3 linked regions of the Lonchura striata genome follow. Each later gene encodes a partner of the first gene's protein in a complex. Links are inferred from orthologs where the notes say so. Each region holds a gene or a part of one and is shown on either strand. Other genes may lie near its edges.

Region 1 (10,710 bases):
CTATGGTTCTAGGTGGGATTTTTTTTTTCTATGACAAGAAAAGAAAAGCAAAATTAAATCATTTCAACAGCTGCAGTGGTGAAAAGGAAATTGCTTCCACAAACCAGATCTATTTCCTGGTATGCATCTTGTGAGACTTGGATATTTCTCTAACTTATCCCTGATACATCTGCTTGTATTTATCAACCAAAGTATGGAAGTAGTAGAAAACTGACAGTTTTCTCCTTAACATGGTGAACTCAGGGAATATAGACACAAAGAAGTGCTAGTTGCTTCCACATTTTAATCTAATAAAGTTGACTGAAACCACACTACAAAAATTTATGCGATATCAAATTTTTGTAACAAGCATTGCTGCTGTTACATGATGCAAATTAAGCTGCAATATTGCAGAGCTGAGTTAATAATACTGATTTTTTTCCCTTTTTAATGCAAAGCAACTCATGACACTCGAATTACATTTAAATGCACTACATTTCCCCCTGAATTTTGGGAAAACCTATTTTGAGGAAAAAACAAGCACAAGAGCATTAGGCTGCATGTTGCAGGTACATATTCTGTGAATTGTTACTACACAGATTTTTGTCTAATCAAAATATTTTAAAAGTTCCCACCTTCGTGATACTCAGAGCACTTTCCCCTCCCCCGTGAAGAGTCACCGTGACAGTGTGGTGATGGCAGGGACAGCTCCATCAGGGCAACCACCTTCACTGTAACTACAGGTGTCACTGCAGGAACTCAGAGCTGGTGACATACGTGACCTCCAATAAGGCTTTGCTGTGGCTTTTCCTTTCCTCCTGCTTATACAACCTATGAATATTATCACAATCATGAACCAGAGTTTATTTTCCTACCCTAACACTTGTTTTGAATTTTGCTAACCAGACTGCCATTAAACAGTACTAAACCTAACCGTAACGCCCCGAATTCAAACGAAACGGGATGGCAACTACAAGACACACTTTAGAAAAATGGCAAGAAAAAACCTCTCTGAATTATAAATCTGAAACAGAGTGACTATATTTCTCACACTGTTTGTGTACAGCTGAAACAATGGGGTCATAACCAGAAACCCATGCAAGGGTTCTGCTCTACCACAAGATGAATGAAGTTCTTGGTCTTCTCAATATATCAAATATACATCAACCTAAAATGCTTCAGTGTCCAACCTGCTACAGCGAATTTCAAAATATATATTGCAGACTAGTGGCATAATTGCTTTGTTTTACTTTGGAGAGAAATGGATATGAAATACACCTTATATGCTCTGTAAACATACCCAGCAAAGTCCTGGGAAGCCAGTTCTCAGCAAAGTCCATCCTGGCAAGTTGGCAGCTTGTCCCCTGATTTCCTGATCACTGGAGGGCCAGCTGTGTGTTCTATCAAGCTAAAGCTCTTGGGATTTACATACTCCAAATACAAAGTACTACACTGATGTTTCTGGAATAAATCCCTCACAAAATAGCTATTCCACAGATCTTCTCAATAAGAGCAGGAGATTGCTAAAATTATGCTTTCTGTACACAAGAAAAATGAGGTGACTGTTTCAAACTTCTACCCATTCCAAGTATCACCTAGTGTGGTCTCCTTTTTATTCTTAAAGGACACAATATAGCAGGGCAAGTTTTACACTCTTTGCCAGTTTTAAACATTTTAAAAAGTAACTACTTGCTGCCTGAGAGCAGTGAGCCCTCAACAGCGTTCACAGCAACCTTTAACAGAATGCAAGAAAACAAAGCAGAAAGAAATCATGTTTCCCCTTAAAGCACTAACCATCCTGGAAGGCACAAAAGAGACCACTGCTACTGGGGACCATCAGCACGGCTGTGGTGGGACAACTGCAGAGGGTTCTGTGGATCTTGTCCAAGAAAGGGAAAAGCGGAGCCACTAAAGCAGCAGGGAAAGGAAAAACTTCTTGTCAGGCCCATTCTGTGCCTGCCTCTAAGTCCTTCATTTTGGGAATACTAGCAAAGGAAACAAGGCTTCAAGTACTCCATCTGTACCCACATATGACTCTGATGAGATATACTTTTAAATTGCTGAGTTCCATCTGTCATTTATTTACAGATGACAGTAAGGTAAGTGAAATTCCAGGCTCTGAAAATATGTCCTCTTTTTACTGAGGAACGAAGAAATGCCTGATGCTGCCCCAAGTATCCAGATAGGACTGATGCTTGAAATAAGGAAGGACAAACAAACAAACAATCATTTCTAAGTTTCTCTGCCACATACTGATTGGTCTCTTTCATTCATCTGTGTTTTCCAGCAATTTCCCAAAGAAGCTACTGCAGCTCTGTATGTCAGACCTGGTATCCAGAAAAAGTTCACATATCATTTACATATTCCACCATATTCAGTATTTTTAATATGCGTAACAATTTTCACCGCGAGGATCTTGCAAAGCACTGTCCAAAACATTAGGCTTTGGGGTCCCACACACTGGTCCTAAGAAAGTCTATGCTCTAGCTACATACTGTTTTAGTAAACTTGTCTTTTAATCAGTGAATTCCAAGTAACAAGCTATTTCAGCCTTGCAGCTTACCAAGAGCTTTCTGCTCTAACGTGAACAAAGGCTCAAACAGATAATATCCACAGATCCCTTTCAAAACTAAATTACTTCACAATTAAGGGAAGAAAATAATTCAGATCCAGCCACATATACTCTCTGTTGCTGGAAGAGATCAGCCAGCAGGACATACTAAGGATTGTCAGCTGAATCTTGCAGGTGCACAAGAAGACCTTTCATAAAATTTCAAACCACATCTCAAAGCCTACCAGGTAGCACTTGTCTATATAAATACATATAAAATACACAGCCCCTTGCACACACCCCAAAGAAAATGTGGTGAAAAACCTAAGAAAAAGCGACAAAAGAATGAGACCAAAAGACAAATACACGATCAGCAAGAGTTTTATCCCGGCTGCTACAAATGCCACAACATGGAGTATTTCTAGCTGTATATCAGACAACAAATTGCTCTTATGTTAGCGTTTTTATTCCAGGATTAGGTTCTACTAAAAACTAAACAAATCTTTCAAATTGGGAGAGTCTTCCTTATCTACAAAACCATCTTCTCTATCCTTGCAGATAACAGGCCTGAACAATCCCTAGCATGCTAACTTGATAAAAGAACTCAAAGATAATTACTTCTAAGCAGAGAACAAAATATGTAAATTCGGAGGGCAATCAATTTACACGGGAAAAATCGTCATACAACTTTACACAAAGTAACAGGCAACTGCTGAAAGGAAATACCACAGCTTACTACCATTCCCTGCTGCTGAATTCACTCTTAATTTTACCAAAACAACATCAGAGTGTGGTTGATTGAAAGGCGGTAAAAAGCCATTTGTGCTTTTGAACCCTGTTCAGTAGATTTTGTAACCAGTTATGAAAACAGCGTAAATAATCGGTCCTCAACAGCACAGTCTTTCACTACTAAGGTACGGGCGATTATTTGGGGTTATTATTTCCTCGGACTTTTTTTGTTTGACGTCGCTGAACGGCAAAATCCGATTTGGAAAGCAGGCGTCCAGCTTTGTTCAAGGCTCGCACAAAAGGAAGGCGAAGCACCTTATTCCTCGTACCCTTCCCACGACGACGGGCGCTGCCGCTCGCTCGGGCTGGGGCCGCTCGGCACCGGGCCCGGCATTACAACAGCGGGAAGGGAAGGGAGGGCAGGAGGGAGGGAGGCCCGGCCGGCGAGCGCCGCGCCGGCCCTGCCCCCGCAGGGACCCGCGGGCCCGGCCCGGCCCGGCCCGGCGGGCAGCGCCCCCAGCGCCGCGGCGGGGCAGCGCTGCCGGGCGGGGGGCGCTCCCGGCGCCCCGAGCAGCCGGGCCGGGCGGGAGGGCCGCGGCGGAGCCCACCTTCGACGGCGCGGACCCCGCCGGGCGCCGCCCGGCCCGGCCGTCCGGCGGCGGGGAAGGGGCATCGCCGCGGAGGGAGCGCCCCGCGCCGCCCCGGCCGCAGAGGCAGCGGGGCAGGCTCCCTGCCCGGCGCGCCCCGGCTGTCCCCGCCCGGCCGAGGCCTCCGCGGCGCGGCCCGCACTCACCGGCGGTGGGGGCTCCTCATCCTCCGCGCGGGGACGGCAGGCCAAGGCGGAGGGGGCCCGCTCCCCGCCGCGCTCCGCGGGCCGTTCCCGGGGCCCCGACGGCTCCGCTGAGACGGGGGCGAAGGCGGGTGCGTGTCGGGCGGGGGAGGGCGGGCCGGCGGGCGCGGGCTCGGCGCAGGCTCCGTGTCCCGGCAGGCGCTCCCGGCGCGTCCCTGCGGGGCGGGGCGGGAACGAGCCGGATTCCAATCACTGCAGCCGGGCGCGCGCGCGGCGGGGGCCCGCGGGGAGGCGGGAGCGCGCCCGCCGCCCCCGCCCGTCCCTCAGCACGTGCCGGGGGCGGGAGCGCCGGCGGGGCTCCCGGCAGGGAAGGTTGGCCGGGAGGAGCCGGCCGGGCCCGCTTCTCCTCCCCGGGAGCCCCTCCGCGGCCGGCAGCGCGGGCCGCAGCAGCGCTGTCCCCGTGAGGGAGCTCCTCTAGGAAAGGGCGGGAAGGTGTGAGGGGAAAAGTTGCCAAGCCGGTGTGGTGGAAGCGCTTCTGGCCTCGAAGAGGGTCGAGCCGCGAGAAGAGCGGCTGGGTTTGGCTGCGGGGCCGGGGGCTCCGTCCCTGTGCTGGCGGGGCAGGTGCGGCGCTCACCGGGGAGGTGGGTGCGGCATCGCCGCCGCGCCTGTGCTGGGAGCTCGGGGCCGCCTGCGAGCTGCGGAGCGCACCGAGCGCTCGGCGGCGGCTGCGGCCCGGGAAGAAGGACGGACTCGCATGGGCCTCTCGGCTTCGTGGAAGAATAGTTCTGAGAAGGCTGACGTTGCACTGCCGCGGGAGGGAAAGAGTTCCATTGCAAAGGACAGCATTGTTTGCTTTTTCCATTTCCTGTATCTAAATAAATATGCCCAGTTACTTAGATTGGAATACATTTTAACTTCTGCAATGAGCTGCTCTGCCTGCTGATAAGGATGCTGAAGGCCACGATTTGCATTGTATTTCAGAGCTTCTTATCATTAGGACAAATTGGAAAAGTAATAATTTGTCTGTCTGTCTTCAGGTGAGGTCTCCCAGCAGCAGTGCAGAAGGAGCTCCAGTGACGGTGCTATGTGCCATGCAAGTGGCACAGCTCCCACCTGGGCTGCTGTTTTTAATCCTTCACTCGACAGTGTGACAGCAGTTGCGCTGCTGATGTCCTCTTGCCCTTCGCCTGTCCTGCCACTTGGTTACTCTGCATCAAGAACTTTGCACACAAGGCCAGCTGCAGGGGAAATGAAGATCACATGGATCGTACAGACCACTCAGTTTCCCTTTGCTGCACACCATAACACTCTCTAGGCCTTCGGGACACACCAGTAATTGCTGGTGGGGAGATGGCTGCCCAGATAAACTGAGCATAGAGAATAACCAGTTGGGAAGCAATCTGGTTTATTGGTGCCAAATAACCACATGTGCATAAATTGTGGGAAACATGGGCTTGCTTATTGTGTTGACCTTTTCACAGTATAGCTCCATTTTTGCATGCTAATATCAGATAGGACTTGTAAATGTTGTGTACTGCACTCCAGAGTTGTCACCTCTGTAAGATGAGAGCACTGGCTTTGCATTCTGGCTCACGTGCATTTCACCCACAGATTGTTAGATGAGCACTTCACTTCTGTATTATCCTACAGAGAAAAACAAAAGAGGAAGTATAACTTCAAACCTATCACCTTCACAGACTCCTTTAAAATGTAGGCAGGTAAATACACACCTAATAATTGTATGTGGTGATAGGCATTTGCAAATGCAGGTCTTGTCTTATTAGACTTTTAGAAAATTTTTTCCGATCACCATCATCCAGAAAAATCTGTCAGTGTCCAAAACAAAGCCAGCCTACAAGAAAGACAAAATCACAGCTTCCATGCCAAGCAATACAGAACTCCTGTGCTTATGTTTATAATCTCAAAGGAAAATATGAGTCTGCTGTTCTTCCACTCTATGTACTATGAAATTATAGCAGCAGAATAGACACTCAATATGGAAGAAGAATGCAACATGCGTGTGTGTGCTCCCAAGCAGAACCAAAGCTGTTAGTGCTAGCATCTCTTCAGTAATAATGTGTGCTAATACAGCCCGGGGCTCGTCAGATGTTAGATACTGATTCCAATCCAGGATGCATGAATTTAGCAACAGCCACTAGCCTTGAAATGGATTTAACCCTTTTTGTGAAATGGATCAACTTTTTTTCATCCAGTTCCTGGTGTGTAAATTTGCACATTGCAGAAATTGCTGTCTCAGCCAGTACTTTTCAAGGCACTTGGGCATAGAAGATACCCACAAGTCCCTGTCAGATCAGGAACAGTGTTGCTGAGGATGAAGTTTTGTATTGCTATAGCAAGTAATGCCCATCTCTACATTATTGAGAACTATAAACTCCTTGTCTTAATCACAAAATAAAGTTGGCCAAAATAAACTACATTATGTAATATTAGGACTACAGGAGACCAAACTGCATCTTAATCTAAAATGATGAATCATAATGACCTTCTGAAAGTATTTAGATTGTGATGGACATCTGATGAAATATCACATAGAAAATACTGGTGTCTTTCAAAACAGTGCAGTACTTAGGTTTCAAACATCTCTACCAGAATAGGTAGAGAGACCTTTTTAAACCAGAAAGTGAACACTAGATGATGGGCTCTCAGAAAGACACAGGGCTCCAGCAAGCTAATTAGCAGCAGCAATCTTACTTGATGAGGATTTTAGGAATCTGCAAAAACTCAGACATACCAGGTTTAGTAACACTAAGCATTTATTTTGTTAATTGAGCCATATTCAAAAAACCGAGGTCTGAAAATCTGAAAATAAACACATAAGTTTATTTGACATTTGGCCAAGATGAGATGTGGAAGTCTAACATGAGATACAGAAGAAGCAGTTCAAAACTGACTGTCATGATGAAGAGAACTGTATTAAAAAAAAAAAAAAAAAAAAAAGGACAGTCTTCCAGCTGCTTTCATTGTTATTTCCTCCCCAGGAATTTCTTATTAGTTCTTGGAATCACTAGGGAACTACAAACTTGAATATCAAAAGAACAAAGAGGTATATATAGGGAGAAGGTCAGTCATGTGATAGGACCTGATCTTTGTAGATCCTTCTTCCCTTCAGTCTCTGGAATTCAGATGTCTTAAATCTGTGGTCCAAATATATTTTTGAGGACTGTTTGCAATTAGATGAGTATTTCTCTGTTACTGCTACAAAAATAAATATTCCATGTTACATATTAAAAGACTATTACCCTTCAGCCAGGGACACAATTATTTCACTTAATATGACATGAATTTGGCTTTGTCTGTTTTTCAGAACTATTTTACTTGAAAGCATATTCTTTTGATTATAAATTTATTCAGCTGTTTGTTACTTACAAAAGTCGTGGATTTTATTAGGTTTTTTAAATGTAAGCAAAAATAATTCAATAAGGCAGAGTCAAATCTGTGAAGAAATGTGTTCATAAAATTTTTGCTAGTGGATCACTGGTAGTAAAGAGGCAAGCCATGTCCAGGCTAGAGTCCAACCAGTCTGGTGTGGAACTGAGTCTGGGGCAGCACTGGAGAGCACTGTGGCAATAATCCAAGGAATAACAGCTCAATGAGCAGAGCATGGGCACAAGGAAACAGAAGTGTTCCCACAGCTCAAGCACTTGGTGTGATTTGGGCTTACTTGGGCTTCTGCAGGGGATTCTTCCTCAGCCTGGAGCAGGTGGCCATGGAGGAAGGAGGACACAATGGCTGTGCCTGTCCCCAGCAGCTGCAGGGTGGGAGCTGATTCCTCACTGAACTGATGCCCCTGCTGTGGCAAAGGGCTGCAGTAATGGGAGCATGTTGCTCTGGGAGACATCTTCCCAGTCAAGGACCAGATTTCCCACTGCTTTTTCTGTTTCTTCTGCCTGTGCCTAGCTGAGCTGTATGATTTTGTTTTTATGGATTCACATTTACAAAACCCTTATTGCAGTCTTCTCACCAGGTCGTAATAAACCCTGAGATAACTCTCCTTTTAAATACAAATTACTTTGTTTTTCTTAAAGCCAGAGCATTAAAAGTCTTATCACAGAAAAAGGAAGTATTTGTAGGCTCAGCAGACGTTTCACCAGGGTGCCTCACTCACATCAGTTTGTTTGGAGAATTAGTAATGTTTTCCCTAGATGCATGCACATAAAATCCCCAAAGTCTTCAGTTGCTCAGAGAAGATTAAGTATTTCAACTATAGTGCTGATTTTAAAATTTATGTTCTAATTATCAGTCAGTGGTGCCAAATGATCTACAAGGAAGTTTGAATTATACTGAGAGAAGCTGAATGTTTGTGTTCCTCCACCTTTCGTTACAAGAGGCATTTGTTTCTTTTACAAGTTGGAATAATCCTTAGATCCAAACTCACACTGTATTAACAGCTCCTCTGTTAAGCCTGATGCTCAGGCTTTGTCCTGAAACTGGAGCAATGCTGAAAGCAGAAATGTTTTTAAAACCTGCTGTTACACAAGGCAAATTCTTATCAATACAGAAAATGTCTGTCTTGGTGCGTGTAACGGCTTTATCCTCAGGGGGCATGGATTCAAGTGGAAGTGTTTCTGGCAGCTGTAGGAGGGGGTACTGTAGAGATTTACAAAGATGGACATTTATGAGACTGAAAATTCTCTGTTCTTCCAAGCTTTTTAAAATGAAACAGATCTGATCCTATACAAAAAAATGAACTAAGTTCATATTTTTCTTATTTTTTTCTCAGTCCAAACATATCTTAAAACATGAATAAATTGCTGTTAAATAAAAGTAAATGCAGCAAAATAGTCTAATTCACTTATTTTTTAATATTCTAGGGAAACTAATATGGGACTACAAAATAATAGAAGGATATCCTTGTATTTCAGCTAAAATGTCTGAAAATAGATAATGAAGTTAAAGGCATAGCAATGAAGCTTTTCTCTCTCAGTCTGTAAGGTGCTTGAATATTAACTGAAACTGGAACTTGAACAAGTAAAACTCATACAGCTAAAAGCAAATCCCAAAAAATAGTCTATATCTCCCTTTGCTTCCAATGAAATATTTGCCTGTGTCTGCAAATCTCCTCATTTGGCAGCCACACCTATTACAGTTTAAACTCTCACTGGCATCAGCAAAAAATTACCTGATTAGGGATGCAGGATTGGATCTAAGATAATAACATATTAAAAATCCACTATGGATTCAAAAGCTACTAATGGAAATTAAATCCCTGAGAATATAAAACATTCCAAGCTGTCGAACAGTTTCCATTGTACATACTCAGAATGCTAAACAATAGCAGCTATTGCATGTGTGACCATCAGGAAACACAGCTGTGCTTCTTTGTGTTACAATTAATTACTTCCGTTGTATATAAAATTGAAAGTATTGGTACTCTGGGGCGGAAAAAGGATATCCTGATACACTGCTCCTATTTCCTTACTGAGGCCTATTACTGAATGTTTCACCATTAATTCACTTACAATGAATTACCCTGCACGGAATAAAGGAAGGGTAGATTGGGTGGTTAATTGTTATGCTAAAAGCTACTTTTTCTTTGGATTTTCACTCTCCTACATTTTCTACATTATCTCATTTTACTACTTTTGCATATGCCCTCTTTGATAGGAATTGTTCACTTTTAATTAGTTGCACGTTATAATAAAGGTCTAAAATAAACATTTACTTCATCTTTTTATCTTTTTACTTGAAGGTTGTTCTATTAATATTTCTTAAGTTACAAGATCAGAGGAAGCACAATCTTTCTCTCTGTCCTTTAAAAAAAAATGAACAAAATCATCTCAACTGAAGTATTTGTGGCCAGGTTCTCTGAAGCTGGCACACAGAGATGTAATTTATACCTTTCTGTGCCAGTGAATATTCCTAAGCTGGAGGGAAATGAGGATTGTTACCCAGAGTTAGGGAGGAGTATTAACAACCCTCTGTTATGCATTCTTTTTTTTTTTTTCTTGAGAATTGCATAAGAAAAAAAACTGTTTGAGGTTGTACTAAATAGGCAAATATGGACCCTAAGGAAATACACTACCCCAAACTTTAATATCTACTTTTTAATAACATTGACTCTTTCTTTTTAGAGACCTTCTAAACAGAGAGCAGCTTCTGTGACTCCTTAGGAAGTCAATGAAGTCTCCAGCAAAAACCAGCCCTGTAAGTCTATAAAAGGTGGATAATGTGTTCTGTGTTTGTCTCCGAGGATTTAATTTCTCAGGATGTGTCTCCTACCTAGAAGTCTCAGTCCTTCACCTTTCACCACCAGACTGTTTCCAATCCGTTCTAGGATGGCAAACACAAAGCTGAATAAGTTACACGTGGAAAACATGGAGTCCTTCAATGTGAGAATAAGTAAATTTTGCCAAATGAGCTGAAACCTTTGCAAGTTTGAATTCAGGCCGGTGTCATGATGCAGCAACAGGAGAATAGCAGCTCAGAAGAGCTCCCATTCCAGAAACTGCTTTACATAATAAAAATTGCAGAAAATCACCATCCACAAACCAGCCCTGTTGTCCTTTTGCTGCAGCAGCTGGCACTGGGAATACAATCTCAAAGGCAAACTGTGCTCTGCCATTATTTTATAACCACACAGTTCAGATTCAGGTATGCTCTGAGACCACAGCTAGAGCCAGCATCCCTGGCTAGCAGTTTG
Region 2 (9,901 bases), on another chromosome or scaffold:
CCAGGATACCAAATATGAAGAAATGCTTATTTCTTGTACCTTTGCTGCTCCTCTTCCACCTGAAGCAGTGCTTTCTCCAGGCTGTGGTCTGCTGTGGCTTCCCACCTGCCTGGAAGGGATCCCTTTAAGAAGAAAGGAAATGTTTTGTCAAATGATAGTGTGTGCTTCACCACTGTCAGCATCCACCACTTTCCCATTCATTTGTTGGGTATCTCAGGAGCTCATGGCTTCTTCCAGGTGTAACAGTGTTGTGACTACAGGGAGGAAGGGAAGGGTATTAGTGTGAGCAACTCTCCTCACTCTCCCACTGCTATGTGTCCTCACTTCATGACTTCAAGTGCTGATTTGGACTTGAAGCCTGGGAATGCTCTCCTATTCTTCCACCCTGTGGCTTCCAGATCTATTTTAGCTATGAAGCAGAAAGAAATGCATAGAGCCAGTTCTGTATGTTAACCACCAGCCTTCCTGACTTCCAAAATGGTGTTTTAACTGGTTCTTTCTCCAGGACAGCTATATCATGTAACATGCAGCACAGTCCTCTCCCGAGACCCAGGACAAATGTAACTCCAATGAAGCACTCTTTCACAAAATTAAAATCCTCAACTGGGTTTTCTGGACTGTCATTTCTGGGACTACTGACTGCTCTAAGAATGGCAACTGGACAAAACACTGATGGGAAAACTCACAGTGTTTCTCTAAACCCTCAGACAGTAAAAACCTGCTTTCTTGTAATTGGATTGTGGAGCGTTTTTATTGGTCTGCATTTGGGAACTTTATATACACCCTTTTTAGTTAACAACCTGCAGCACACTCACCCCTCCAGCTTTCACTTGCTGCTCCAACTCTCGACACCAGGTCTGGTACTGCAGTACCTAAATGGATACAGAGATTACAGATGAGAGAAGCAGCTTGTAATAGACTCTGCTCACCTCACGTTAACTTTTCTCTGACTCTGTCGAGCCCAAGCACAGTGATTCTGATACACTCAGCAAGAAGTCACTGCAATATCGGGAAGCGTCACTTTAATATGACAGAGATTGGGGCAGGGTTTCTTTCACCGTAGCACTGTCTGCTCACCTGAGACAGCGGCAGCAAGCAGAACGATGGGACAGGTGCGGGCAGCTCTCTACCTGACCTACGGCCCCCACGTACCCCGAGCCAAGTGTTCAAGGGGGCTGTTCAAGGGGGTCCTTGAAGCGAACAAAACGAGTTTTCAAACTTGCTCTGCAAACAAACCGGCCCGACTCCTGCCCGGGACAAACCCCGCTAACAGGGCCGAGCAGCAGCGAAGCTGCAGGCACCGAGATCGAGATCGGGAGGGGCTCGGCAGCGAGACCGCGGCGGGACGGGCGCTCCCGGGGCCGCCCCGAGCCCCGAGCCCCGAGCCCCGAGCCCGCGCTCGGCACCGCCCGCCCGGGAGGCCCCGCGGGCTCCCGCCGAGTGCCCCCGGGCAGCGCGGGCGGCCCTGCACCGCCTCCCCGCCGCCGGGCACCGCCCGCTCCTCACCTCGTTCTGCAGCTGCCGCACCAGCCCCGCCTGGCGCTGCTGCGCCTCCTCCGCGCTCCGCAGCCGCCGCCGCAGCGCGCCCGGGCCGAGCTCCCCGCCGCCGGCGCTGCCCGCCATGGCCGGCCCGGCCCCAGCGTCCCGCCCCGCCGGCCGCCCGCCGGAGCGCAGGCTCCGTGAGGGCGGGGCGGTGCTGCCGCCCTGGGGGCTCCGCTCTGCCGCCGCGGGGAATGTAATCAGGAAAAACAGTGATCGTGCACCCTCCGCAATGTCATCGGGAATTGTCCTGAGACTTGGTTAAGCCCATTGCTAAAAATATGTTTCATTTTGTATTTGGCTGCTGAATAACGCTGGCTTGTTTTCACTCCCTGTTGTTTCCTGTGACAGCGAATGCTTCAGCGCTGACATTCTGGGTTTTTTTAAAGAGGTGGAATAAATGAATTGCCATCAAAATTTTCTTTGTCAGCAAAGTAGTTTGGGATCTCAGGATCTCTCTCTCAAATCTTGAATCATATAAATATGCTTCTATTACAAAGATGAACAATACCTATCAAAGGCAACTCAGGGAAATTAACATTGTATACCAAATGGAGGGACTCTGTTACTGAATAGGCTTGAAGAAACTTGAAACAAACCCTGAATTTCTCTAAATGATAACAGGCAGAGATACCAAAAATTAGGGGGAAAAAATTCCCCCTTAATTCAGAGTTGGGGAAATTAGGTACATCTGTAGGAATCAAAAAACAAAAATAACACTCCCACTCAGGATATTTCATGTTTCTATGATTCTGTGCTTTGTAATTCACTACTGCTTGCAGATGTAGCCAAGTTTCTTGATTACCAATGACACAATTATTTCTTTGGACTTGCAATTTTTTATTTAACATCACAACATGTTAGCACAGTGTTTTAAATTTTGCTACCTTCACGTGGAAGTGGAAACATCATTACATTTGTTTTGCCCTGGCCCAAGACCAGCAAGTTTTAATTATTGCATCTGTAGGTTTTGTGTCATTCTTTCCTTTTGAAAAGCACAGCGCTGTTAATTTCCTTCATAAATTGTAAGTTCACACTTCTAGAAAACAGTTGCCCAAGAGCTATGGTGCAAAGGTCTAAATCCTCACAGAAACAGAATGATAATTAGATTCAATCAGCAAAACAACATGACAGCAAATAGCTTAATATATGGCACTAGCTCAGTTTTTTAAGTCCTTTCTGGAAATTAGTCCACCTGGGAAAGGACAGTGAATTTCCTGATAGATCACTATAAAAACTTCCATGTGCAGCTTCAACTGCAAGTAAGCGGCACAGAGCAAATTGTAACTCTTGGCATCACATATCCAATGAAGCTGCTCATCTGCAGGGATTGACAGTGTTTTCAACACTATGAAATCTTCCTCTGGCTCCCCAGAGTCATCCCTTCCTCTAGACTATGCAGGACATCCTACATCAGAAGGGCTGAGATTGTCTGAGAAAGCATCACAGCTCATGTAGGCATAATCTCAGGATATGGAGAGCAGGAGGCAAGGCACTTCCAGGGAGCAGGGACACGGGTGGCCCTCCCTTTTCAAATCCATACTCACACCGTGCGAGGGAGGAGCTGCTGTCACAGAACAGCTCAGAAGGACAGGTGGGCTACATGAACGCGGCCACTTGAGGTTGCACAGAAATTTGGCTGTGATGAGCAGTGAGAGGCTTGGAACACCACTTCCACTGTGTCCAGAGCCTCACCAGCAGGAGGGTTTCTAGCTACATATTGAACATATCAGTGGAGTTTGAGTTTATCCAGCTGGAATGACTCCACTTTGGTGTAGGGTTCATAGGAACTCCCCTGTCTGTGGGTCTTGTTCAGGGTCAGCATTCCATTCTGGGGTCTGTGGGGCTCAGTGCACTCTACAGCATCTGTGCTCCCATGGTTCCAAGCACTGAGATTGTGGTTGCTTCAAAACAGCCTCTTTTAAAGAGAGAGATTAATTTGCACTTGCTTTTTACTTTCTTTTCCTTTGCTTGCTTGTTTTACTTGCTTTTCCTTTTTCTTTCTGTCTAGCTCTGTCCAGCCCACTAAGATTTTTTAATCTCAGGCATGTAAATATTCTTTGAACATATCAATGATCATGTTTTAATTTGATTTACTAAGACAATGCCCATGTAATCACATTGTCCAACCTCCTGCTCTTTCACCTCCCATCTCTTAAATCTGTTTGCAAATCACAGCCAAGTTTGATAGAGCAAACAAACTTTTAAATATATTAAATTCTTACAAACATTGTGAAAACTGGAAGCTGGATAGATTAAAAGTGGAAATTCAACATTTAGCTTCTTTTGTGGCTTACTGGCAAGCTGATCAATGCCCCCATGGTGCAGAACCAGACACAGCACATCACCCAGCAGAAAGGTGGGCAATATGGGAAGGATAAAGTGATGGCATGGCTGGGAGGGCCATGGGATGGTGTGGAATGACTGCTGGGGAATGGTTTCATTAGAGGTAACTCCCAGGAGAAGCTGCTTTATTTTGTAGGGAAATATCAAAAGCAAACTGACATCAGAGGAAGGGCTATTAGATCAAAATCAGGAAAATCATGATTTGAATCTACCTTATTTGTGACATCTGTAAAATCACTGAACTCTTCTATCCTTCAGTTCCTCCATCAAAATAAGTGAAGCATTCAGAGCTTCTTATGTCATGCAGGTTGTTATTTATGAAAGCAGTTCAGTGTTTCTGATACTGGTCAGGGTGGGTGGGGAATGCTACAGCACACACAGGACAAGCCAAAAGGTGGTGTACCTTTTTCATTTCATCTTAACTCAAAGAAAAGCAATTGCAGAAGGACTGGGTGTAGCATCAATGCAAGATGAGAGATGAGTCCCAGTAATCCCTACTGAGTCCAGCGCCTTCTTTCCCGAAGGCTGATCTAGAACAATAGCTCGTTTTTTGCAGGTTATGAAAGACAGATTTGGCTGAAATGTGCAGGACAGCCTTGACATGAGGAGTGCTGGTTTTGACCTGCATCCTTCTTGGGGCCCCAGGGTCAGCAGCTCTTGGACATTTTGAATCTAAAATTCAAAGGCTGGTGTTCAGCAGTCTCGGGAGGAAGGACAGGGTTCGGCCTGCCTCCAGCTCCCGAGTGGCTCTGGAGAAGAAGGAGGAGGAGGAGGAGGAGGAGGAGGAGGAGGATGGCTGCCTGCAGGGTGCACTGCTGCCTCGCTGCACCGCGCCCGCCCCGCGGGGCATCCCCTCCAGCAGGAGCTGCTTCTCCAGCTGGGCTGACACGGGTTTTTTTAAGCACAGCAATAAATAAGCCAAAATACACTGACTGTGGGCACGGCCCTGTTGAGTTTGTGTAAAATTAAATGTTACCCTCGTTAAGCGCCTGCGTTCCAGCGCAGCCCTTCAGTCACAAGGGGACGGAGTGAAGCCACTGTTACAAGCTCTCTGGAAAAAAGGCTACATGAATTATTTCTAAATTAGTTTATGTATGTGTCCAGTGGACTGTGTGACAGGTCTCAGTTGTTGATCTTGCAGTTTGTCCTGTCTAAACGTGAAGTTCATCGAGGGCTAAGGCAGAGGTCATACTGCCACTTGAAAAGGCATCCTCTGGAGTTTTGAGCCTGTGGAGCTGTTTCACATGAGGCAGAGTATGACTCATGCTAATGAAAAGGGTAAAGAAGATTTTTTTTAAGAAATATATCGCAGTAAAATTAGTTTAGACAGCATGACATCAGAGAGTAATTAAATAGGTTTGTTGGAATTCCGTTTCCAATTCCAGAGTTCAGGTTTGTAAAAGATTTCTGAGCACCTGCAGATCTCTGTGTGTGAAATATTTTCACTGGAAAGGATTCAAAACTCAAAACTTTAAAAAAACCTTTTAACACAGAGGCAGCATTACGCCATTCTTCCTTCTTGGAAAAAAAAAAAAAAAACCTTGGATTTAAACAAGACTCCTTCAAGTTTTCAGTCAGTTTTACAGAAGAAAACGAGGTGGTAAACTTTCTCTTTTCAAGAACAAGTTCTTTATAGCTGCTAACTGAAGTCAGGGGAGATCGTATCTGAGTACATGAGCATTTCCACTATGGGACTGGATACAAGTATTGAACAACGATATTTGAAATGTTTTAATCTCAAACAAAAACCATTTTTGCTAACTTTGGTTTTTAATTTCTTTCATGTTTTCTTCTGCCAAACTGGAGGAACCTTTTCTGATTTTTTCTTTAGTGGCATTCAGAGGAAGACCAGAGGATGAAAATCCTGCATTTTCTCACTTTACTGCTTTGGCATTTGACTTGGCTGTCTCTGGATCTAGTTCCTGGAGTGCTGAGTAATTCTGAAGCAGGCCAGGGTAATCCAGGATCTAAATTAGGTTTTTTGAAAGCAGAAGGAAAGGAGAGGAATCCCTCCGCACGAGCAGGTACATTGAGGACTTCAAGCCATGGATACAGTGCTGGGACCTCAAAGGCCAGGACTAAAAGCAGTGCTGCTCAGGCTGGAGCTCTGCTGGCCAAGAATGATGACTCAAAGAAGGTTCCCTCAAGAACAGCAGCTGCAGAGGGCAAGGTAGGACATCTCCCCAGCAGACCTTCTGGAGTAAGGACAGTGACTCCAAAGGTTCAAAATCTTAGCAGCAAGGTGGCTTTGAAAAAAACTGGCACAAGCAGTACTGACACTGATTCTTTCAAAACCAAAAAGACTAAAGAGCCTGTAACCCAGAGGGAAGCTAAGGAAACTTTCCGACATCCCCCAATAACGCCACATGAATACATGCTCTCTTTGTACAGGACTCTCTCAGATGCAGAAAGAAAGGGTGTTAATGGAAGTGTAAAACTGGAGGCTGGACTTGCCAATACAATAACCAGCTTTATAGACAAAGGACAAGGTAAGAAAGAAGCTTGTGTGTGAGTGAGTGTGGACAGAGAGAGATGTCTGAGTGTGCTTATAAATGTAGAAAGTATTGGAAAATAATCATATTTCAGTAAAGTCAAATAGCTCTTTTTAATGTAAATGAAATCACACAACTTTGCTGCAGATTTTGTCCTCCTGCATTATCTTGGAAAACTCATTTACAGGCAGAACTAGATGGTTGTGTGGAAGCCAAAGAAAACATTTGGGAAATATTTTAGATGCATATTGTTGAAAATCAATCAGTCTTTGCATGCTTAGGTGTTTAAAAACCTTTCACATTTTTGCCTTATTTTCTTTCTAGCTGTCTGGAAACTAGCTCATGGAAACAGCTAATGTTAGATTGTAGTGTGCCTAAAAACATATAATATGCTAAGAACAGAGCTATTCTTTGAAAAAAACCCACAAGTTTCAGTATGAAAGGGCCAGTCTGGTTTGTTCAAGGTAGAATTGTGAGGAACTACACTGCACTATCCTGTGGGGTGAGAGTATCTTTAGTAGCTTAAAACTTTCAGGTAGCACCAAGGAGCCCACAGCTCAGCACAGGCTACCAAGGGTAATAACACCCAGAACTTGCAGCTCAACATTCCTGTTCCAAACACTTCCAGAAATTTGGGCTAGTGTCTGCTTTCATAGGAGAAATAACCAGCCTCCCAATGAATGATGTTCACCTCAGCACCCTTCTTTGGGAGCCCCATCTTTCTTCCAGTGACATTTGTAAGAGTTTTGTCATGTTCTCAAGGAAGCAACACAGCTGGTGAAGGAATTGTGATGAAAGACTCGCCAGGACTGGATTTGTTAGCCATCTCTTCATTAATAGCTTGGCTGCTGGGAAGGGGGGATGCGCTGCTCACAGGTGCTGCCTTCAGGTTCCCAGCTTGCCACTGGAAGCCACTGTTAATGTCACATCACTGGAATGAATATGGTTCAGCCATATTCTTCACCACCTGAAGCAAGTGATTGTAAAGTCAGGATGAAGGGAGGATTTTTTTCTGCCCAGTTTGAAAAATTTTAAATCATGTGGGATTTAGTTCATGAGGCAATTATCCTTATGTCTAGCAGTTCCTGGGGATACTGGTTTTAAAGGACTAATTCACTATTGCATCATCTAAGGGTAAATTTACTCATGTTTGGAGCCAGCATAAGGCCTGGCCACCACTAAAGCTCTCTTTCTGTAATTTAAGTAGGTTATAAGTGGTAAATAGATCCTGTGAATGCTCAGTCCTGAAAAAGTATTAATTTTCAACTGGCTAATAACAACTTTGAAGGTAGAAAATGCCCACTGGTGAAAGAAATGGGATTTCTACAAGGCAGACTTGGAAACTCATTTCTCTGGTGAGTCCCTGATTTCTTCTGAGTCCCTGCATGGGGCTGATCCCTTAGACAAAAATTGCTCTTTCTGTTCAGTGGGTAAACTTTGAGGCTTATGAGCAAATTTGAGGAAAGCCATTAAGAACTGAATAAGTAATATTGGTCTGTGTTTGATGTACATTTAAAAATCTGTGTGCTTTTTTCAGATGAGCGAGCACCAACTATAAGAAAACAAAAATATATTTTTGACATCAGTGCATTAGAAAAAGATGGATTGCTGGGAGCAGAGCTTCGAATACTGAGAAAAAAACCTTCTGATACATGGAAGTCTCATTCTTCTGGGAAAACTTCCCAAGTAAAATTATTTAGTTGCTCTACAAACAGACAAGCCTCAACACTCTTGGACTCTCGGACTGTCAGCATCACCGATACACCCAAGTGGGAAGTGTTTGACATCTGGAAACTTTTCAGAAACTTTAAAAACTTGGTTAACTTGTGTTTTGAACTGGAAACTTTTGACAGGGGGAGAGCTGTTGATCTCAGGAGTGTGGGATTTAATAGAACAGGAAGACAGGTCAATGAAAAGGCTCTGTTCTTGGTGTTTGGGAGGACGAAAAAAAGAGACTTATTCTTCAATGAAATCAAAGCTAGGTCTGGCCAAGATGACAAAACTGTTTATGAGTACTTATTCAACCAGAGGCGGAAGAGAAGAGCTCCTCTAGCAACACGGCAAGGGAAGAGGCCCACCAAGAACCTGAAGGCGAGGTGTAGCAGAAAAGCCCTCCACGTGAATTTTAAGGATATGGGCTGGGATGACTGGATAATAGCCCCTCTGGAGTATGAGGCGTATCACTGCGAAGGGCTCTGTGAATTCCCCCTCCGATCCCACCTGGAGCCCACCAACCACGCAGTTATCCAGACATTAATGAACTCCATGGACCCTGAGTCCACCCCCCCGACTTGCTGTGTCCCAACCCGGCTGAGCCCCATCAGCATCCTTTTCATTGACTCTGCAAACAACGTGGTCTACAAGCAGTACGAGGACATGGTGGTGGAGTCCTGTGGCTGTAGGTAGCAGAACAGTTGCTTATGTGAATATGTTATGAAAGGCAATTTGACACATTGGACATAACTTCTCCTCAAACAAGGTTAACTAGGTTTCTTACCCCTAGGGTAAGTATGTTTACAAGGATGTAGCAATAAATCCAGTGTTTTTGTGTCTCTCCATGGACATCTTTCAGTAGCATTTGGATGCTGTCACTCAGCTGGATTTAAGGCCTTGTGCTGCTGGCAACACAGGACTGACTCTATGTGAAGTCCATGACAGAGAAGATGATTCCTGTACACCTTGAGATCTCCTGCTTTTAGCTGCAAGGTAGTGGATAGAGATGAGATCAGTGAGCTGTGGATATGAACTGTTTGTTCCTTGAACATTGTTCTGGAGAATGAATTTCTATCTGATTCCTATGTCCTTTGTCCATTCATAAATGTGAGAAAAGAATCCCAATGTTGAGAAGAATTGTGTTCTGATGTACCCCCATCTTGGTGTAAATATGTACTGTAATATGATTTCCTTCTGATTAGCTCTTGAAACTATGCATATATAAAAAGGGGTCATTAAACATAATATGTTGGTTTAGTTTTAAGTTTTACATAAAGATAGGTGATGCAGGAGGTATTTGCTTCCATGTATGTTTTCCTCCAAGCTACACATCTTTCTTAAGTATCCACCTTTCCATTATTATGTAGCAAAATATATTATTCTGTATAAGGTCCAAGTTGTTCTCAAGTGCTCATAGTAAAAGCATTCAATTATGGAATAAGATGTAATAAATTATTGACACAGTGCTGCATTGTGCCTAGCTGTCCAACTCTGCATAATTATAATGCAATTAAGAAATTGTTTTATGTTTTTGTACAATAAATATGTGAAAGGGACTTTTCCATGGAGCAGAATACCATGGATATGCACAACATGTCTGTGTATTTTGCTGCCACAGAGAAAAACCGTAGAAACATTGAAAAAAAGATCTGAAAGGAAGACCTGGTTTGATCTGGTGGGGAATGACACTATGAATTGATGTATTTGGAGCAAAAATGAGTTATGCAGAGGGTTGCAAAGAGCTTTGGTATACTTTTATTCCAACCTCTAAGGGCTGTGTGCTTGTATATCCCTGTTATCTATTACAGACA
Region 3 (10,387 bases), on another chromosome or scaffold:
TTCAAAAACAGGTCTCTGCAAACACAAATATTTTAGATTAAAGCAGCAGCTACAGGTCTCAGCCTAGACCCTGTTTGCTGAATTCTTGTGGTAGTCACTGGGAACCAACTTTGTTTTCCCTGAAGACCTAACCTAGGTGCTGACTGTGGCACTGCCTTAGTCTTGTGGATATCCACAGGGAAAGAACGTCTCCTGAATCTTGTGCTACATATGGTGCAATGCTGTTAGGATTTTGCTGGGATAAGGACTAACAACAAAGTGTCCCAGTTCAGAACTTGTCAGTGCAAGCTGGAAATCCTCTACAAGATCTCCTGTGCACCCAAAAGGGCACAAGTTCTTCCACAGCCTACTGGCAGCAGCACTGAGCAGCTCATCTCGGTGTTAAGAACCAGCTTCAAGTCCATGGAAGTCTTAGTTACACACAGCTAAGCAGCAGCACATGCACAAGGAAGGAGATAAAGTATTTCTGCTCTCAATTCCATGGGAGTTCCAAGATTATATGACTTCCTAGATGTCAATATGCAGTAGCAGATAAAGCTTCTGTGTGATCTTGGCCAAGCTGTTTCAGTCTTTGTATCAATCCTTGCTCCTCATCAGCTCCATGAGGCAGAGGCTATTCCTCAGCATGTCCATAACACAGCAGAGCCCTGTCCTACTTTGGAGTCCCCTGGTAGGAGCTGTGTCTCAAGACAGCTGCTGGCACAAGTCAGTTACAGATTTGCTTTAAATATTAATACAGAAAGCTTTTCACACTAGCTGAGTATTTTTAAAAAATACTGTGAAAAATTATTCTGACTCAGTGGAAACTCTGTTTCCGTCTGAACCGTGTGTCTGAGTGTGCAGAGGGGTTGACAGAAGCGATCTCTTCCTGTGCTCCCTTGCTGTTCCTATACACAGGGGATTTTACTTTTCACTTCCTAACTTTGACTCGGCTAGTCTTGGCTTTTCCCAGCTCTTCCCTACTGTATATATGCAATGGGTAACACAGCTCAGACTTAGGCTAGAATGCCACAATAGCACAGAAAACAGGATTTCCGAAGTGCCTTTTAAAAACTCACCCTCTATGACAGGCTGGATAAACAGGGCATCACCTACCTCTCTTGCCCCCCAAACCACACACCTGTACCATTCTTCTGGAAAGGGACTTGAGCAGTTAGCCTGGTTTAATTATTTTCATCTAACTGAAAGACAACCCCAAAGTTTTGTTGGCACTATGGTAACACAGAGAGTGAAACATAGGGAGGGGTTCTGACCACAAGAACCTCCACACTCTGCTGTGACACAGAAGTGAGGCAGTACCATTTCAAAACACACAAAAGCCTTTCTTCATACAGGGAAAGCTGCACATATTATTTAGTAATACTGTAAATAAAACAGGTCTTTACTCACTGATTTTTTCTACTAATTTCAGCATCAGTCCTCCAACATGAAGGTCCCCTGTGACCTGTAGTGGAATTTCCTTTTCTACACCTTCATGTTGATGATCAACTGTCAGTAAGAGGTCCCAGGTGTGTGACCCATATTCAGTTGAGGAAACCATCTTGGGAAAGGTCTGTGTAAGCTCTGCAAAAGCAAACCAACCAAATGAACAGGATGTTTTTCCTCCACTCTGAAACAAATGCATTTCTCCAGTCTCAACATCATTCCATGCTGCCAGGACTTCACAGAGGCCTTGGGTGGAACTTCAGAGATGTTATCTTGTTACCTCTGAACTAGACTCTGCTCCTGCAATCGCTCTTGCAGGATAGGAATGTGGGATTTTTTGGTTTTATTCTGATTTTGCCACACCCCCAACCCAGATGCCTCCATTTGGGTAGATATAGCTCAGTTTTAACTGGGCTTGCCCACCATCCAGTGCTAATCTACCAGCCTGGACGCTGTAAAGCCTACAGTTGTGGGATCTGCTCTGGTAATCTGTCCAGTGAACAAAGGCATTTTGTTGACTTGTATGCTTAGGGCTCTAATTTTTACTGCAAATCCAAGTTTACATTTGCAGTTCTGCCAGCTTTCTCCCACAGGACCATATCCAGAGAGTAGCTTTACCTATTTGAGTACATGCAAGGGGAGACAACTTTAGTGGCTCTCTGCCAGCATTATCCAGACACAGATCTGCAGTTCTTGCTGACTTGCACAGGGATGTAGGCATGTGTCCTTCTCAGCAGGGTGAATCGTCTGAGATCTCACTAGGCTCCTGCCAGGACAGGTGAACAGTAATCATGCCAAGCCAAACTAGAGGAGACGCTCCAAGTAGAAGCTTTGGTTAACATCAGCTGGGTTCTGCTGAAGAAATAGCTTGTAGATATAAGGTAACTGATGGTGCAGGCAGGATTTGTGATATATAAACAGTGAGACAGCTCTCTGTCCTGAAAAAGGCCTTTCCAGTTGAGGTGTAGGCACTAAAATGGATGAATTCCTTTTATTGTTAACTTTCAACAACACACGAGAACCCAGCTCACAGCCTCTTGTTGAAGGGGCCCTACTCAGACTGCTTTTAACATAGCAAATAACTATGCCAGAAGGGATGAAGCAATGTTACAGGCTGTTGTAGATCTTCTTAAAAATAAGTATTTAGTAATGTAATACCTGATGTCAATGCCGCTGATATAAAATTTGTCATTAAAGGGATAATAGAGATGAGGTGGTAACGACAAACATAAAGGCAATGAAAATGTATACATTAAAGATTAAATGGATTTCCCCTTAAACAAATGACATTATAAATGAATAATCTGACCAGCTCAAAGCCATCATTTTAGTGGGAAATCACCTTACCAGTGAGTTTCACTGGGAAGGAGCTGGGAGTCTGCCCTGAAGTTCCAAAATTACACACACACACACACACACACACAGAGCCCTAAGTCGCAAAACTACAGCTTCATAACTGTGTGACTTGAAGAGGCCAACTCACCCTATGGAGCAAGCCCTGTTGTTAACTGGGTTCTTACATGTGCCAGCCTACACCTTTACACTAAACAGTTACTAAACCAACAAGGGCTGGTACTTATCCAAGAAATTTGCTTGCTTGCCTTGGTAAATAAAGGCATTATATTGGACACTGGGAACACTGCCTTTCCTGCCTCTGGGATAAAGGATTTTGAATTTGTGCTGCTGTGTGCCACATGATTTACGAGCTTAGGTATGCACTAGACCAGGGGGTACCCGTGGAGGGGAAGAGCTGTGGCTTTCCTAAAAATTCCAAGACCCAGCTCCCGAGACGGTCTCTGGGCAGGTGAGGCTTTTAGCACAAGTGCAGTACAAGGTGCACAGGACAGCTGTCGTTGTGCACCTCATAACAAAACAAAAGCCCTGACTTTAGGAAAGTCAAAATGCCCCTAGTTATGCTCCTAAGAATAAATAAACAACTTCAAAAGTAATCCATGGCCAAAGGATGACAACTTTGGGATTTTATTTCAGGAGCACAGGTGTGCAGTCCAGCAGATGAATTCTACTTCTGCCCACCCTTGTTCCACTATAAACTTTGTTCCACTATAAACCATTATTGTTGCAGAAAAGCAGCTGTCTCATCTGCCCTCCTGGGCCAGCGAAAACATTTAGGAATTGATCTGGATTTTTTTGGGGCGTCTTTAGATTAGGTTTCACTTCCCAATCTAATTCTGCACACAAAGCCTGTGCTGATGCGGGTGAAAATGAGCAGCAGCCTAAGGGGTGGGTGAAACCCTTTCTTTCACCAGCATGGAAAACCATGGCCCCAGTGCACTACTCCTGGCACTCCATCATTCCCTGAAGCCGCGCACCTCCCCACTTCCTCTTCTAACCAGGAGGTTTCAGTTTGAAGATAAGGCAACACAAACACTTGCAAATCTACCGGAGTACGCAGCACAAACAAAGCCTGGTCTCGAAAACGGGGCAAGGAAAGCAACGAGGACGACGAACCCCTCATTATTATACCCCAACCAAACCCAAACCGACAGGGTTTACATCTTACAGCCTTCAGGTCAAGCCTGGATCTGCTCGGGAACGCGCCCCAGCTCCTGGGCTCCACGTGGGAGCTGCAAGGCCTGGCACGGGTAGATCAAACAGGCCAGAAACGTGTCCTCAGGCTACTGCTGTCTCCACTCGGCATTTCTGCAGCGCACTGAAAATCAGCAGTTTCTGCAGATCGAGCTCTCCGCAGATTTTAGCACTCACAGCCCCAAACTTCTAACGCTGAGCGGGAACGGAGAAAGATGTGAATCGTGCTGGAGCAAGGTGCTAATGACGCGGGGTTAAGATCAAGAAGGTCCCGAAATATCTCTCAGGCTGGCGGTGCCCGGCGCAGCTCGGAGGGTGCCGGGGGCCCGGCCTGCGGCGCCCACGGTAGCGCCACTTCTACTTTAAGGAAGTACCGGCAGCCGCGGCCCCGCGGAAAGGGCTGTAAAAGCAACAAGCCCGGGCAGTCGGGCACTCCCGCCCCGCCGCAGGTGCCGCGGGGCAGCGCAGAGCCGCCCGCGGGTGCCCCGTGCTGGGGTCGCTCCGGCATCGCCCCGCGCTCCCCGCGGGCGCCCCGCGCTCCTCACCTGCCGTCCCCGCCGGCAGCGCTTCCCTCTCCTCCGCGCCCTACGCCGCTACCTTGCCTCGGAGAAACAGCGGGGGGAGGAGTGGAGCCCGGGAGGGCGGCCCTTCCTTCCCCTTCCCTCCAACAGCGCGCGGTGGGAGTAAGGCGGCGAGGAGCGCTGTCCGCCCGGCGGTGCTCAGGGTCACCCGCTCGCATACCCCCCAGAGTCACCACCTCATCGATGACCCCAGGCTGCCGGGCAGCTTCAGCTGCTGCTTTTAGAGGTTTGAGGCTACCCGGAGAAAATCGGTTCCGAGGGTGCAATGGCAAAGAACAGAAAGTTTGTGAGGTGGAGATGTGTTAGAAGAGGCGTGGATTGAACTGAGAGGAAAGGGGCAAAAGCTTTTCCATGAGCCAGATTTCCACAGAAAGTCTTTCTTGCCTTAAACTTTTGACTTACACGGTGGTACAGTGATGAGGTGAAGCACAGTGGAAAAACCATATCTATGAAAAAGAGAAACAGAGAGAATAAAGGACAAAATTATTTCAGATAAAACTCATATCCTGGAAAAAGACTGCAGAGATACAAAGTATGAATATTTGACACACTATGGGCAGCAAATAGTTACTCTCATGAGAACTATGCAGCTGTGAAGTTGTCAAACCACAGATAGTATCACAGGATATTTGCTCCCCTAGGCTTGCTCCCTGAGCTACTCTGATGATGCTTATCTCTTTAGATTGTCTATGCATGCACTTGTCGTATCAGACATCCTTGGAGACAGGAACTCCAAAGCTCATGAAGACTTTCAGAGCCTTCTATCACCTGAGGGCACACTGAGGCCTTTAATAACCTCAGCCAGACCCAGCCGGGACCAATTTCAGGCATTCTACTTAAGCTCAGGCTGAGGGGCATTTTGTTCTTGGGGTCATGTGGAGTAACTCTACTTTTGCTGCTCCTTGGCACTGGCTTGACACTGTCTTTTTAGCTCTTTGTAGGACAGTTGGGTAAGCTACCTGCTTATTATTATTTAAATAAACATACCTCTGTAGATGAGCAAATAAATATTTATGGACCATGGGGTAATGTAACATTCAGGTGTGAATTGGTTAGTGAACAACCAAGCCTGCTGTTGCTGTGACCTCAGGAACATATTCTTGGGTGTTTTTTTTTTTTTTGTTCTCTAAACAAATAAAGAAAAATCACAAACTTTTGACCAAATTGGGAAAAATGGCGCTTGGGAGATAATCAATAAAAGCAAAGAAGGTTGCCAGGCCAGTCAATAAACATTGATGTTTATCTCCATGCTGGTCCCAATTCTGACCTCTTTTAAGTGTGAGCGTTATTTCCCTTTCCAGTTGCCTGTGAGCTAACTTGAGAGAAGAGACTGTAGAGTTTGATGTCAGCCTAGTCCTGCTGTGCCAAGAGGGATGGGGCTCATGTTCCATCTGGACTGCTGGAAAAATCTGTCGCCTATCTGCCAGATCCCTTGGAGAGGAAATGCACTTGCTGGATGAAGAAAAAATGATCTGGAAAAAAGACAGAAGACAAAGAGGTGGGGGGTAAGCTCTCTGTGAATCTAACAGAAAGTATTGCAAGAAAATAGGTGGGTTTTCAGTTGACACTGATCAAACCCCCAGCATCTGAGGCAGTGATGGTTTACATCTGAAGAGTTGCAAATTAGGGAATGCTTTGGAGGCGGTGTTTTCATTTTCAGTCATCTCTCAAGGGGCTGAGGAAATCAGATTTGAAGACCTGTAATACCCTCATCCTGTCAGAGGTGAGTGGGGAAAACTGTAATTTAGTAATAAATTTTCTTTTCCAGAGTTCCCATGGAAAAGGACAGGAAATGGAACGTGCATTTGTAGCTTCTTAACAGTTTATATCATAAAAGCCTCCTTTAGTCAGGAATAAAGTTTGCTGGAATATAGGTAGTGTTAATTTATTCTTGGGGTTACTCAGCTAAGGCTGAATGTGATCTGTTTAGAGTTTGATCCCTTTTCCAAAGGGTCTACTAAACACCTCTAGCTGAGAGTGTCTTAGTAGACAAATATATGTTTTTGGGAGCATGAGGAAGTAACATGACAAAGACAGAATAATAAATACTGATTTTTTGGTAAAATGTGTATTTTTTTCTTCCAATATACTTTTAAAAGCTTTTCTTAGGCCAGTGTTATAAATTATCACCAAGTGATGATGTAATCATGTAAGACTGGCCCAATTGTTGTGTTAATGCACCGTCTGGAGGAATGTCTTCTCTTTTTTCATAGGCCTCTTTATTTCTGTTATGATTTTTCCTTAACTATAGGAAGAAAAAATGCTCAGTATTTAATTTTGGGTGAGATCACCCCAGTTTGTGGATGCATGTGTTTTCCGAATTCCCATTCCTCTCAAACTTGCCTTACTTAGATTCTCTGTGTTTCCATGCAATAGCTGTACTGCTTCCTCCTTCTCCCAAAGCAGCATTTCCCACTTGGGGTTTGCCAGGCTGTGGCAAAAGCAGATCTAGAGCAGAACCATGGGGGGATGGGGAACAGCAGCGACTTGTTGCAAGTGCTGCATTTCTCCCAGGTCTCTTTAGACACTCATTAACTTCAGTTTTAACAAGGAATTACTTGTGGGAGTGCCAAGAGTTAGGAGGGCAATTGGTAAGTTCTCAGTGTAGGAGAAGTTATATAAAGAAGTTTGTATAATATTTTAATGTTCCTGTGAGTTCCTGGCACATGTAAGTTTACTAAAGCTTTGAAGAAGCTACTGTTGGTGCTTGAACTGAGGGCTTAGATTGTAGGTGAGGACTAAAGCTGAGCAGAGAATGTCAGTGTTGTGTTCTTATATCCTGTAGCTGGTCAGTGGGCATCTTCATGTACTGACATCAAAACCAAGGAGGGGAGATGTAAAAGAGTGGCGCCCTCTCCCATCATGGAAAACTTGTTATTTTGTGATGTGATTTCTGAAATCTATGCTTGGTAGACAGATGGTTTTTGTTGTGCGAAATATTCCACTTGTAGGCAAAGAAGTAAAGTGTGTCTCTCTGTGTCCCCCCCCTTCACTGACAAAGAAATTAATCAATGCAAACCCTGGCATGAGCACCAGGCACTACTGACAAAGCTCTTGAGAAAAGCTGATCTGTACCACACAGGGTCTTCATGTTGAAAATCTGCACTCTGATAAATGTCCACAAGTGGGAGGTGGCAATACTTTATCCTTTGGTATCCCTTGGCTGTAGTGCTGGTTGGTGACACCAACAGCCATTATCTAAATATCTGAAGCTTTGGAAAAATTCAGTTCGTGTAAGAGAAAAATCTAAATCCTGTAAGTGGAACCTGGATTAAGAGGAACAATAAAAGTCCCTCATTTTCTTGGTTTAGAAGAGTTGAAGCTGCTGTTGCAGATCTGAAATGAGGTCTGAAACTGATGCACTGGGGTGCCCCTGGGCACAGAACAGACAGCACTGACCCATAATGAGTCAGGCTCACTAAGGGTGTCTGTGTTCCCACCCTCTGGGTGTTGGGACTTCTGGGGGTTTTTAAAGTCTGCTTTCTGACTCTGGCTGGCTCATGCTTGAAAAGCACCACATAGTGAAATACTTCCCTGCCTGGTGCAGAGGGTGAGTCATTTAACATTGCTACCAAAACCCCCTCCCTAGGGGGAACTGAGAAGGGTGAGAGGGAGGGATCAGAGCAGACTCAAGAGGAACTGACCAAAAAGGACCATAACAGTGAGCATGTTCACCAGACAGCTGATTGGTGACACAGACCTCTCTCATGATGCTTTCAGCTGAAGCAATGAAGCTTTGAAAAGCTAGAGTTGCAAACAGAACTATTTTTCATGACCAAGGATGAATTCATCCTACTATTCAGCCTTTTTACCTTCCCTCAGTCTGGTGGTTGCAAAACAGAGTAAAAAACATATGATGATTTAGACTGTCTTTTAGGCTTTTTCAAAAATGGTGGCTTGGTCATCATATCTATTACATGGTGTAAGACTTTCAGGAATCCTTACCTTTTCTGTGCGCTTGTAAGTCAGGGCTACAGGGAGATGGTACCAAGCTAATCTTGAAAACTTTCCTCCTAAATATGTATCTGCATGGTTAATTAAAGGAAATACATTTTCCTTTTTTACCCTTGGAGCCCAAGCACCTCCTGTGAGGTTGTAAAATTTGAGTTAAAAGTTGTTAATGCCTGACTGAGTACATAAAAGTTAAAGACTACAAGAGACAGCATTACATCAAATGGTGGCCAGTGAGTTGAGTCTGCATTCTTTGGGGGGTGTTTCTTGTGGATTCTGTCATGTCTGATGGGAATGTCTTGCAATTGTAATCTCAGCTGTAGGACCAAGTGAAGGAAGAATCCCAAAGTCTAACATAGGATTTGGTACTATCCTTTCCAAAACAGGAGTGAGAAAAGCTGGGTTCAAAATTATTGTCTGATTACATGCTGTTATTTTCTTTAGGATACTGGTTCTCAGCTGGAGTGACACTCTGAGATATTATCTGATGCTGGATTGAGGCTGTTTGAATGGAAGCTTTTAAGATAAATAGACTCACCTTTGTCTGACCTCTTCAGTTTAAAATTGCTCATATTAATAGTACCCTAAATCATTCTTCATCCTTTTTAGATGCTTTAAATATAACAGTTGTACTTACATGATCTAAATGAAACTGAAAGTTCTGTGTCTGTGCAGATGAACTAAAGATAGTAATTTGCCCTGAGGAGACTGAAACTGAAATGGGAGGCAGGATGGAATGTAAAAATGGCCCCACTCCATTCCCAGGAACAGCAGGATGGCTGGAGATTGCATAGTAGCTCTGTTTTAAATCAGCTGTTTGTGAGCCACAGGTGGCTGAGACAGAGTTCTATAGGTGTTCCCTACTCCAGCCCTCAGCCCTGGGTCAGCCCTAAGCGCTGCCTGAGTGCAGCTATGTGCTGCTCCCTCAGGGCCCACCAGGACCTCTGGTGCAGGTGGGATCTGTGCTGGCTTCCACTGAGCTGCTTCTGCCATCTCCTGAGCTTTGGGCCACAGCCCTGGTGAGAGCAGAGCTGTTGCTGCTAGGATTCTCCCTCTGCATGGGCCACACAGGTGTGCCCTGGGGCTGGACTAGACACTGGGGCTGGATTAGTTTGAGGGAACAGCTCTTCCCTGCTCCCCACAGCTAACTCGGTGTGGAGGAGAAGGCAACACTGTCTGAATTGTGCAATGCATCGGCAAACTTGGGATTCTGCTATGAAAGGGGGTTGTGCAACTTTCCTGAATGAAAAGCAATGCAAATGCTGTATTGCTAAACTTGGATTTCCATCCAAATGTGCAAATACACTTTAATATTTTTTTTTTTTTATGCTAGACCCAGCCTTTTAAGTAAAGAAGCTTTAAGTAAGACTTCCCTTTGTCTATTCCTGCACCTAAATCAGCATTTTCCAGAGACTGAGCAGCACCTGGAGTTCCCCTAAGGCATGTGCCTTGTGAAAGCTGTAGTGTAATTAACACTCTGAAAAATCATGTTGCAGATTCATGTGCCTAAGGGTAGGGATTTTCCCCGTTTCTTCTTTCTCACTCCCCCACCCTTTCCAGTCTCTAGCTGGATTGTCAACTCTTACGGTTTCATTGTTACTCTTGTGTTAATTCATGTTTCTTAGAGCTTACTCTCTAAAAGCCAGGCTAGACTTTGAGAACAGTGAGGAAAACCTCACAATATGGATTCAGGTGTGTTCCAAACCCATTAGCAAATATTTTACTGATTATTTAAAAACTAATTTAAGGAAGAGAAGAGTCTTGTCAGGGTGCAGATCCTTAAAAACTGGTGATGTTTTCAATCCTTGAAGTACTGCTTTAAATATTTCTTTAAAAAGAAGCAGTCTCTGAAGATGCCTGAAACAGCAGTTGTTATGATAGTG

What was found.
Region 2: the proteins of BMPR1A (region 1) and GDF5 are in contact, whole or in part, in a crystal structure (PDB 3QB4), measured with the Homo sapiens proteins. The link is inferred for Lonchura striata from reciprocal best matches to the Homo sapiens genes BMPR1A and GDF5. Residues at the interface, in NP_001393490.1 of Homo sapiens: Gly65, His66, Cys67, Pro68, Ile77, Thr78, Phe83, Ile85, Glu87, Cys100, Met101, Lys102, Glu104, Gly105, Phe108, Gln109, Asp112, Ser113, Lys115, Ala116, Gln117, Arg120, Ile122; in NP_000548.2 of Homo sapiens: Arg399, Phe435, Pro436, Leu437, Ser439, His440, Glu442, Pro443, Asn445, Val448, Ile449, Leu452, Ser455, Met456, Pro458.
Region 3: the proteins of BMPR1A (region 1) and BMP2 are in contact, whole or in part, in a crystal structure (PDB 2QJ9), measured with the Homo sapiens proteins. The link is inferred for Lonchura striata from reciprocal best matches to the Homo sapiens genes BMPR1A and BMP2. Residues at the interface, in NP_001393490.1 of Homo sapiens: His66, Cys67, Pro68, Asp69, Ile77, Thr78, Asn79, Phe83, Ile85, Cys100, Met101, Lys102, Glu104, Gly105, Phe108, Gln109, Asp112, Arg120, Ile122; in NP_001191.1 of Homo sapiens: Lys297, Pro330, Phe331, Pro332, Leu333, Ala334, Asp335, His336, Ser339, Asn341, Ile344, Val345, Leu348, Asn350, Ser351, Val352, Asn353, Ser354.

Annotation. Positions count from the first base shown.
Region 1 is NC_134609.1:6,125,489-6,136,198, reverse strand, and holds the start of BMPR1A (bone morphogenetic protein receptor type-1A), read right to left. Parts: upstream 4,278-10,710; 5' UTR 4,053-4,277; exon of another isoform or gene 3,991-4,052; intron 1-3,990. UniProt on the Homo sapiens protein: On ligand binding, forms a receptor complex consisting of two type II and two type I transmembrane serine/threonine kinases.
Region 2 is NC_134619.1:13,421,250-13,431,150, reverse strand, and holds GDF5 (growth/differentiation factor 5), read left to right. Parts: upstream 1-5,719; 5' UTR 5,720-5,740; coding exon 5,741-6,374; intron 6,375-7,914; coding exon 7,915-8,783; downstream 8,784-9,901. UniProt on the Homo sapiens protein: Growth factor involved in bone and cartilage formation. During cartilage development regulates differentiation of chondrogenic tissue through two pathways.
Region 3 is NC_134605.1:24,943,818-24,954,204, reverse strand, and holds the start of BMP2 (bone morphogenetic protein 2), read left to right. Parts: upstream 1-6,141; 5' UTR 6,142-6,276; intron 6,277-10,387. Other genes in the region: FERMT1 (fermitin family homolog 1), read right to left, coding at 1,390-1,540. UniProt on the Homo sapiens protein: Growth factor of the TGF-beta superfamily that plays essential roles in many developmental processes, including cardiogenesis, neurogenesis, and osteogenesis. Induces cartilage and bone formation.